Saccharomyces cerevisiae S288C: one gene and its partner. Each later gene encodes a partner of the first gene's protein in a complex. Each region holds a gene or a part of one and is shown in the gene's direction. Other genes may lie near its edges. The genes, in order: ASI3 and ASI1.

Region 1 (4,771 bases):
ATCTTCGCTAGAGGTCACCATCCATCTGTTGTCCTGTTGAAAAGAAACGGAGGTAACGTTTCCCCGATGACCCTCAAAGGATGCTACTGGATTGGGATTTGTCGTCCGAATGTCATAAAGCCGTACGTTTTGATGGCCTGCTGTTGCCAACAACTTTTTATCGTTGGTGATTTCTAAGCGATTAACCTGTGAGTCGGAATGCTGAATTGTTCTTGAACAAACCCCAGTAAGAGCCTCCCAAAATCTTATTGTGTGGTCATAGCCAGCAGATACTAAGATAACAGACATCAATCAGAACTCCTTTTTTATATGGATGACAAGACTGCCACGTTGATCGCTGCGCTAATAATATATGGTTGTCGCACTCTTCTATAACATGATCAGTAATAGCTAGTCGTTACTTTTCTGAATCTTAACGTATTGTGTTACCCTCTTTGGTTTATATGAACGTTCCAGAAACTTCTGGAAAAAGAATGGGATATCCTTTTACGGGTTTTTCAACCACTGTCAGCACAAACTCCTTGCCAAGGTAGTTCGAGATTTAATATATATTGTATAGATTTCTCGTCCCTTTACCGTATTGTTAATCCCTTTTTAAACTTATGCGCTTTCTTGTCAAAAATTCTAATTAATATTATTTAAGCTCTTACACGAATTCTTTTAACGACTTAGAATTGTATAACCATCCAGAAACTCTTCAGAGGATAAAGGATAAGTTGTTTGCATTTTAAGATTTTTTTTTTAATACATTCACATCAATATAATAGAGTATAGTATACAGAACTAATAATGGTCAAGGAGACAAAACTTTATGATTTACTTGGAGTATCTCCAAGTGCTAATGAGCAAGAACTGAAAAAGGGTTATAGAAAAGCAGCTCTAAAATATCATCCAGATAAGCCAACAGGTGACACAGAAAAGTTTAAGGAGATATCAGAGGCCTTTGAAATTTTAAATGATCCTCAAAAAAGGGAAATATATGATCAATACGGTCTCGAGGCTGCTAGATCTGGTGGTCCAAGCTTTGGTCCTGGTGGTCCTGGCGGTGCTGGAGGTGCTGGAGGCTTCCCTGGCGGTGCGGGCGGATTCTCCGGAGGACATGCGTTCAGTAATGAGGATGCTTTCAATATTTTTTCACAATTCTTTGGCGGCAGTTCCCCATTCGGTGGTGCTGATGACAGTGGCTTCAGTTTCTCTAGTTATCCATCTGGCGGCGGTGCTGGTATGGGAGGTATGCCTGGAGGAATGGGAGGAATGCATGGCGGCATGGGAGGTATGCCTGGCGGCTTTAGATCAGCATCAAGCTCTCCCACGTATCCAGAGGAAGAAACAGTTCAAGTTAATTTACCAGTTAGTCTAGAAGATTTGTTTGTTGGTAAAAAGAAGTCATTTAAAATTGGAAGAAAGGGCCCACATGGGGCCTCTGAAAAGACACAAATTGACATTCAATTAAAACCGGGTTGGAAAGCTGGTACCAAAATAACATACAAGAACCAGGGTGATTACAATCCTCAAACGGGCCGTAGAAAGACTTTGCAGTTTGTCATCCAGGAAAAGAGCCATCCAAACTTTAAAAGAGACGGTGATGACCTAATTTACACTCTGCCACTATCTTTCAAGGAATCATTGTTAGGTTTTTCAAAAACTATCCAAACAATTGATGGCAGAACCTTACCTTTGTCGAGAGTACAGCCTGTCCAACCCTCACAAACTTCTACTTATCCTGGTCAAGGTATGCCAACTCCAAAGAACCCATCTCAGAGAGGTAATTTGATTGTAAAATATAAAGTGGACTATCCAATATCACTAAACGACGCTCAAAAACGTGCTATAGATGAAAATTTTTAATAGTAATCCTAAGCAAATATAATTATAAACTCAAATAAATTTATCACCACAGAAATCATATAATATACATCATTAATTTTGACTCAATAATCTTAAATTGCGCGGTGCGGTGCGCGGTAAATTAAAGTTTTTGTATGTCTGCATTACCCTGCCCTCTGGCATATAAATGATGTATGTAAGGAATGGTTGACTTGACAGAAGGTCACCGAGAGGCTACAATTTGTCAGGAACAGTCATTACGTAGGGATTTTCAAAAGTTTGACTGATGTCTACAAATATATTGCAACATGTTAAGCAATTGCTCCATAACAGAGATGTATTTAGCTTTTTTCACAACAAGACTGGAAATCTTAATTACCTAGATAACACAACTCAGAAACCGGAAGTTTTTGTAAGTCCAAATTCTACAATAGTTTCAGCCCCAACTTTGGACTCTTTTCAAGCATTGATGGAGAAAGGTAACTTCACCACTTTGCAACTAGCTAAGGTAGGAATTAGAATGTTTTTCTCCTATTCGGTAAGTAAGTATGCTGTTCTATGTTTTAGTACCGCCATTATTTTGAATAGGTTGACTGTAATGTCTTCATTGAGATCAAATTCTACAAACATTCGTTTACCTCTTTGGTCAAAAACTTTGCTCCATTTAGTAGCCACTCTTTCACTGGTTAAAGCACTTTTACAAATTCTGAGTCAATTTGGACTCATGCATGAACTGCACGTGAGTGATACAGATTTTTATGCTTTAAGTGTCTATTTATTTGTAGCTCTGTCTGACTGCATTGAAATTTTTATTTCTTCAACGACGAACGTTCCTTCATTAATATGCTCTGATTTTTCCATATGGGGTTTATCATTGAATCTTTATATCATATCCAAAATGCCCGCGGGGCAGCAGCATATTGGCGATAATGTTGAACTACTAGGAGCGGTTTTTCACAGATTAGTAATTCATTTGGTAGAATTGTTTCATATAAGAGCCTATAGATTATGTGGAGAAGTTATATTAAACGCGGGTTTTTTTACCGCATTCGTCACTAGGACCTATTTGAACGGATTAGATTTTATTAACATCTGTCTCATTCACAATTATTTCCCTGGCTTTTTCTATATTTCCACCATATTACTGGCGTCTATAGGCATTTTCCTGAAGGCTTTGTTCACCAGTAATCCGTTCCGATCATTATATTCAAGATATAAAAACTTGGAAAAATGGTGGAGATCAAATAATTACAATGGAGAAGAGGAGTTTAACGAAATAGCTCTTTCATTGTGTCTACTTTTAACGTCGAATGACTATAAAATATTTAAGAAATCAGACAACGTAAAATCCGTTGATGAAGTCGCTGCTTTCAGTAATAGTTATGTGGTTAGTGGACATTTAAACCAACTCCAGTCGACACCAGAGGATCTGTTATCTCGTAAGGAAATGACTACCGATTCCCAGTTACCAGGTTTTGCGAGGACATATTTAGGCCTTTTTGAATTAGTAAGAACCATTATTTTGACGTATTCTAGACTCCTAAAAAATCTTCTGTGGAGTAAAAATTTTGAGAGCAGTATAGATAAGAAACCGAGAGTGGGAAAGCGTAAAAAGAGGGATTTAAACAAATATGTTACAGAAAAAAACTATAAAAAGTTTTTATATAAACCGGACGTCAAAGAGCTTAATATTGAGAGTGATCTCAGAAGCCTGGAGTTATTGCTTCCTGAAGACGATTCATCAAAAGACTACTTTCCCCCCAGAAAAATCGATGAAAGTGTTTCAGATGAAGAGTTTGATAGTGATATGGAAAGTCAGTTGATTATTGATGAAGAAAAAGAATTAACACATTTATCAAGTAATGCTGTCGATTCTGATGATTTAGAGGAAATAGCCTGGAACATCTCCATGTGGTCTATTTTAAATTATGAAATGGATGTCCATAATAAGGTTAATGGACCGTTGACTAGATCACAATATGGTAAAAGAAACCCACAAGGTGTACTAGTCGATGTTGTTATTGAACGCCTTCTGCATCATACAAACTCCAGGTATATGTACAAACGTTTAAATATGAAGGACGATGACAAATTAGAGTTCAAGTTTGATTTTGCCTTTGATAGTTGCGACGAAGTGGAGGAAATGGATCTCTCCTGCCTAATCTGCAAAGTTAATAAAAGAAATATTGTAACTTGGCCCTGTAGATGCCTTGCATTATGCGATGATTGTAGGATATCTCTGGGTTATAAAGGATTTGCTACATGCGTCAGCTGTGATAGTGAGGTGAAGGGTTACAGTAAGTTGAATATAGTCTAGAATTATTTTATTAGGTATACGTATTTAAGACATCATAGGAATTTTTTTTTTTGGATATGTTCAACCTCAAGTCTGAACACTATAACCCTAGGCCAGACTTGTCTTTTCAAATGAATGGCGGATTGGTTTATAGTTTGCACATACCTTTCTTGTCTTCATTGGAGCTGAGCATCATGTTTTGAAGCCTCTTGGCAACTTCATCAATAAACTCTTCTGTGGTTACATATGATGATCTATTAGTCTTTCCAAGCATCAATGCTAAATCCTTGGTCATTTTTCCGCCCACTTGAACTGTGTCCAAAGTAGCCTTTTCTAGTAAGTTTCCAAATTTTATAACATCATCTGTATTGTCTAATTTTCCTCTTTGTATAATTGCCCTTGTCCAGGCAAATATTGAGGCTATTGAATTTGTTGATGTTTCTTCGCCTCTTTGATGTTTTCTAAAATGTCTGGTCACCGTACCATGGGCAGCCTCGCTTTCAAACGTTTTACCATCAGGTGTAATCAATATGGACGTCATTAAACCAAGAGACCCAAATCCTTGTGCCACAATGTCAGACTGGACATCGCCATCATAATTCTTCATGGCGATTATAAACCCGCCCTTTGATTTTAGCATCTGTGCTA
Region 2 (4,672 bases), on another chromosome or scaffold:
AACATATAAAGCGGAAGGACAAAAAAAAAGTAGTGATATTATGTAGAAATACCGATTCCATTATGAGGACTCTTATATCTTCGAGAGGAACTTCTATTATATTCTGTATACACAACATTATAGCCTTTGATCAACAATGGAGTTCACAATTATCAAAATATTCGCACAATATTCACGTAGAATAGTGGATGACAGAGTATATAAACAAAGAAAGAAGCACTCAGGATTTTCTATAAATAGTGAAGTTTTCTATGGACGCCAAAAAATCTTAAGGGTATCTTGAGTGTAATCATCATTGGAAGGATTATTATCTTTCACGAGTAAAATACTATTAATAACTAGTAATTTCCGTGAAGTCATTAAAATGAACAAAACGATAAAACGGTTTCTTATTGCTAATGTGCTGATTTTTTGCCAAAAGGTAAAATCTAAAAATATCAATTGCATACCTTCACATTTGGTATATTACCATATAATAGCAAGATGACATAAATCGGTGAGGAGCAGTTACCAAATTCCATGGAAGATGAAAAACAGGGTTGATAATATAATAAACTGTTGGAACGAGAGTAATTAATAGTGACATGAGTTGCTATGGTAACAATCTAATGCTTACATCGTATATTAATGTACAACTCGTATACGTTTAAGTGTGATTGCGCCTATTGCAGAAGGAATGTTAAACGAGAAGCTCAGACAATACTGAAGCTGTGTTAAAGACCTATTAGTTGAACATGTTATGGTAGGTACATATATGAGGAATATGAGTCGTCACATCAATGTATAGTAACTACCGGAATCACTATTATATTGGTCATAATTAATATGACCAATCGGCGTGTGTTTTATATACCTCTCTTATTTAGTATAAGAAGATCAGTACTCACTTCTTCATTAATACTAATTTTTAACCTCTAATTATCAACATAAACAATGGAAGAAAAATAATAATATTACCAAGCAAAATTATTGTCCTTGTGGATTTCGATATTTTCAACAGGTACCTTAGTAGAGCTGAAGTTTTTTCAAATTAAACATTTATGTGGTAGTCATATATATGTGTCATGCGAGTCTTTACATTAAATATATGGTAACCACCAGAGAACTTGTTATATTAGTCACGATTAATAATGTTGGAATAAAAATCCACTACCGTCTATCAACTAGTAGTTATATTATCAATATATTATCATAGACGGTGTTAGATGATGATATAAATTATGAGAAGCTGTCATCAAAGTTAGAAGAAGCTGAAATGCAAAGATTGATAATATGATAGGATAATGAAACATATAAAATAGAAAGAGGGATAATCGTAATATTAGTATGTAAAAATATACATTCCATTTTGAGGATTCCTATGTCCTCGTGGAGAACTTTTAGTATATTCTGTTTACCTAATATTATAATCTTTTATCAACAATGGAATCCCAACAATTATCTCAAAATTCACCTATATCTCAAATAATAAACCGATCGGACTGCGTTCAGTGAACCTCTCTTATATAGTATAGGAAGATCCAAATTTATTATTCGCTGATATGACCTTTTGACCTTTACATATTAACGAGGTGCTTTTACCAATGCATAGACGAGCAGCTTATCCCATAATGAGTTTAAATTCTATTCAACTCATAACAACTTATAGTTGCTATAGTCACACCTTTTCAACAGATAAGTGGTTGTTTGGCCGAGCGGTCTAAGGCGCCTGATTCAAGAAATATCTTGACCGCAGTTAACTGTGGGAATACTCAGGTATCGTAAGATGCAAGAGTTCGAATCTCTTAGCAACCATTATTTTTTTCTCGCGTATTCCTTTGAGGGCGCCCCTTTATGTTGAAATATTGAGAAGCTACGAATCAAACTTTGAAGTCAGTTGAGTAAGCAATATGAAAAACATTGGAAAATACAATAAAACACAATTACGAAAACTATATTGTTTTGAACAGAAAAATAGAAGGAAGTACTAAAATTACTCTTTCACCACACAACAATTTTAACTCAAGAAGATAATCACTGCTTACTTTTATATTTTATAGACAATTTGCACTTTGGGGTATTTTTCTTAATTTTATCTGGGTTTTTTTCTTCTTTTTACAAAGAAACTATGCTAAGAATATGAACTCTTCCACTTCTTCAGAAAATGTGTTCATAAATTCATTTAGCTATTTGAATCAAACATCACAAGCCGTAATCTCAGGTAACTCCACTTTCGCAAATGTTATCAACTTTCCTTATAGACTTGGATTATCCTTTATTGGGGCTGTGAACTTGCAGTACGAGCAAACCGTTAAATCTGAAGAAATTCCCCCAACTCTAAGGTCTGTTTTTGATACAATAGGGTTTTTTTTCAGCCCGTACGCCATATTTTGCTTTGTAATCGCCATTGTCCTGAACCGGTTCGTTGTATTTTACGCCGTCCTTAACAACGGTTCCAGACGTACTTTACCGTTATGGTTGAGTAATGTTTTCCATGTATCAGCAGTAGTTGTATTAGCAATGGTATCCTTAGGTCCGCTGACCTTGGGTAAGGATTTCAAAATATTAGGCGACCCTGCTTTTGCCCAAGAAAAATTTTTACTGAATATATTCTACGCTTTCGCTTACTCTTATTGTGTCGAAACCATATTTACCATCATGCGGAATTCCAGCCCTTTGGAGGGCACTGACTATTCATTGTTTGAACTTTCGATTCAGTTTTATACAATGACTAATAATAATACTAAATTTTTAGATTCTCCTGATTACATTATAGACTGTTCTATGGCTATTTTGAGCAGGATATTGATCCATTTGGTGGAGATTTTCAGGCTTAGAAATTATCGTCTACTTTTTAGTACTATTATGAACCTCTGTCATATTTGTTACTTAGGGATAAGAGTTAAGCAGGGCGGCTGGAAAAGCCTTCCATTTTCGGTGAAATTTAGGCACTTTCCAAAACTGTTTTCAGTGTCTATTATTTGCTTATCATTACTGATTTTTAAATTATCATGCTTAATTAGATGGGATCCATTTGGAAAATCACGTAATTCTTGCGAACTTTTACAGTTTTACCCTCTCAGTAGAAATTGGAAAAAATACTTAAATTACACGGGAGAAGAAGATTTTTCTGCTATGGCCACTAAATTCGCACTATTATTATGCTCAGGAACTGAACTAATGGAAAAGGGTATACGAAGAGAATTTCCTGCTATTAACATCCCGGATAATGTTAATGAGAAATTTTTTATTAGCGGTTATTTAAATGAACTTTCTAAACCGTATAAAGAGAACACTTCCATCAGCTTCCCAAAGAAAAATTCATCAATATTAAAGCAAAGATTTTTTTTAATGTTTCCAAAATCTATAATATGGATCATGAAGAAGCTTGTAGGCCAAGTATTCTTTGGCTTCAGAGATAACAAGGACGAGGACATCCCCGACAACGACCCATCAAAAATGTTAAAGATAACTAAAACGAACTCTCTCAATAATAGTGCCGGCCACAAAGAAGATATTGAACTTGAACTATTGAACACATCAGATGATGAGTATTCTGAAGATTACGAGCCTTCTGAAGTTGAGTCACTGGGGGATTCTGATGAAGAAAACTTGGAAGAAGATTCACTGATTTTCAACGAAACTCGGGATGCCCTACTGGATTTATTTTCTTCCGAAGATAATGAAGTTCATACTGATTATAATTGGATCATGTCAACTAGCCGTATCCTTCAACAAAAATTACTGTCAGATAAAACTTTGACAAGGGCGTCTATCTTAGATACAAAGTTAAGTGAAGTAGATGAGACTTTTGGTACAGAAAGTGATTTTGATCTATCTTGCGCGGTATGCAAAGTCAATGAAAGAAATACAGTATTATGGCCCTGCCGATGTTTTGCCATTTGCGAGGATTGCAGAATTTCTTTGGGTTTACGTGGGTTCAGCACTTGCGTATGTTGTAGGAGTAAAGTTCATGGGTACTGTAAGGTTCATCCTGTTTCAGATAGTAAATAATAGTTTAAGAACTTTTGCATGGTATCTAAAAGAGGTTTTTCGTTTGGGAGCTCTAGCATTAATTACTATAGCTAGAGCTTTCTGTGTTGCACATATAAACATCATAATAATAAATCAAGTTTTTTTTCTTTGGGAAATGTTCGAATTAAAATTGTACTTATAACATATCGTATCATTAGTATATATATAAAAGTGTCAGTGGCGATTATATCATTAGAGGAGGAAAGAATAAACTATACATCGATTTGCCGTCATTTCTGTATTTATGGCATATTGACTCTGAACTCATGCCATCTAATGGTGGAACAAACGGATTGGGTTCTCTACGTAAACCAAATCGAATGAATCGGCAGCTGAAAATACAACCTTGTCCATGACAGAACCAGATGGAGCGGCAATGTATTTGACACCGGATTTAACTGCTCTGTAAACATTGTCTGGGAATGGGAAAAATGCATCCGATGACAAAGAAACGTTGGTTAATTTACTCAACCATTCCTTTCTTTCTTCTGGAGTAAATGGTTTTGGAATCTCCTCGAACTTCGATTGGTATTCAGACAATTCTGGTTCTTCTGTTGGAATTTGGCCGGTTACGAATAAATCGATAGCATTAGATTTTTCTGGTCTCTTGACGCCTTTAGCCCATTTAATCTCCAAAACTCTAGGGTGTTGTCTGAAC

What was found.
Region 2: ASI3 (region 1) and ASI1 share a complex: the UniProt entries of both Saccharomyces cerevisiae proteins name them as parts of the asi complex.

What each region holds. Positions count from the first base shown.
Region 1 is NC_001146.8:615,584-620,354, reverse strand, and holds ASI3 (putative ubiquitin-protein ligase ASI3), read left to right. Parts: upstream 1-2,113; coding exon 2,114-4,144; downstream 4,145-4,771. Other genes in the region: TOR complex subunit LST8, read right to left, coding at 1-288; type II HSP40 co-chaperone SIS1, read left to right, coding at 790-1,848; isocitrate dehydrogenase (NADP(+)) IDP3, read right to left, coding at 4,272-4,771. UniProt on the Saccharomyces cerevisiae protein: Part of the nuclear inner membrane (INM)-specific branch of the ER-associated degradation (ERAD) pathway, required for the elimination of misfolded proteins in the INM, a specialized ER subdomain. Required for ERG11 degradation.
Region 2 is NC_001145.3:503,215-507,886, forward strand, and holds ASI1 (putative ubiquitin-protein ligase ASI1), read left to right. Parts: upstream 1-2,118; coding exon 2,119-3,993; downstream 3,994-4,672. Other genes in the region: bifunctional phosphoribosylaminoimidazolecarboxamide formyltransferase/IMP cyclohydrolase ADE17, read right to left, coding at 4,288-4,672. UniProt on the Saccharomyces cerevisiae protein: E3 ubiquitin-protein ligase which transfers ubiquitin to substrates promoting their degradation.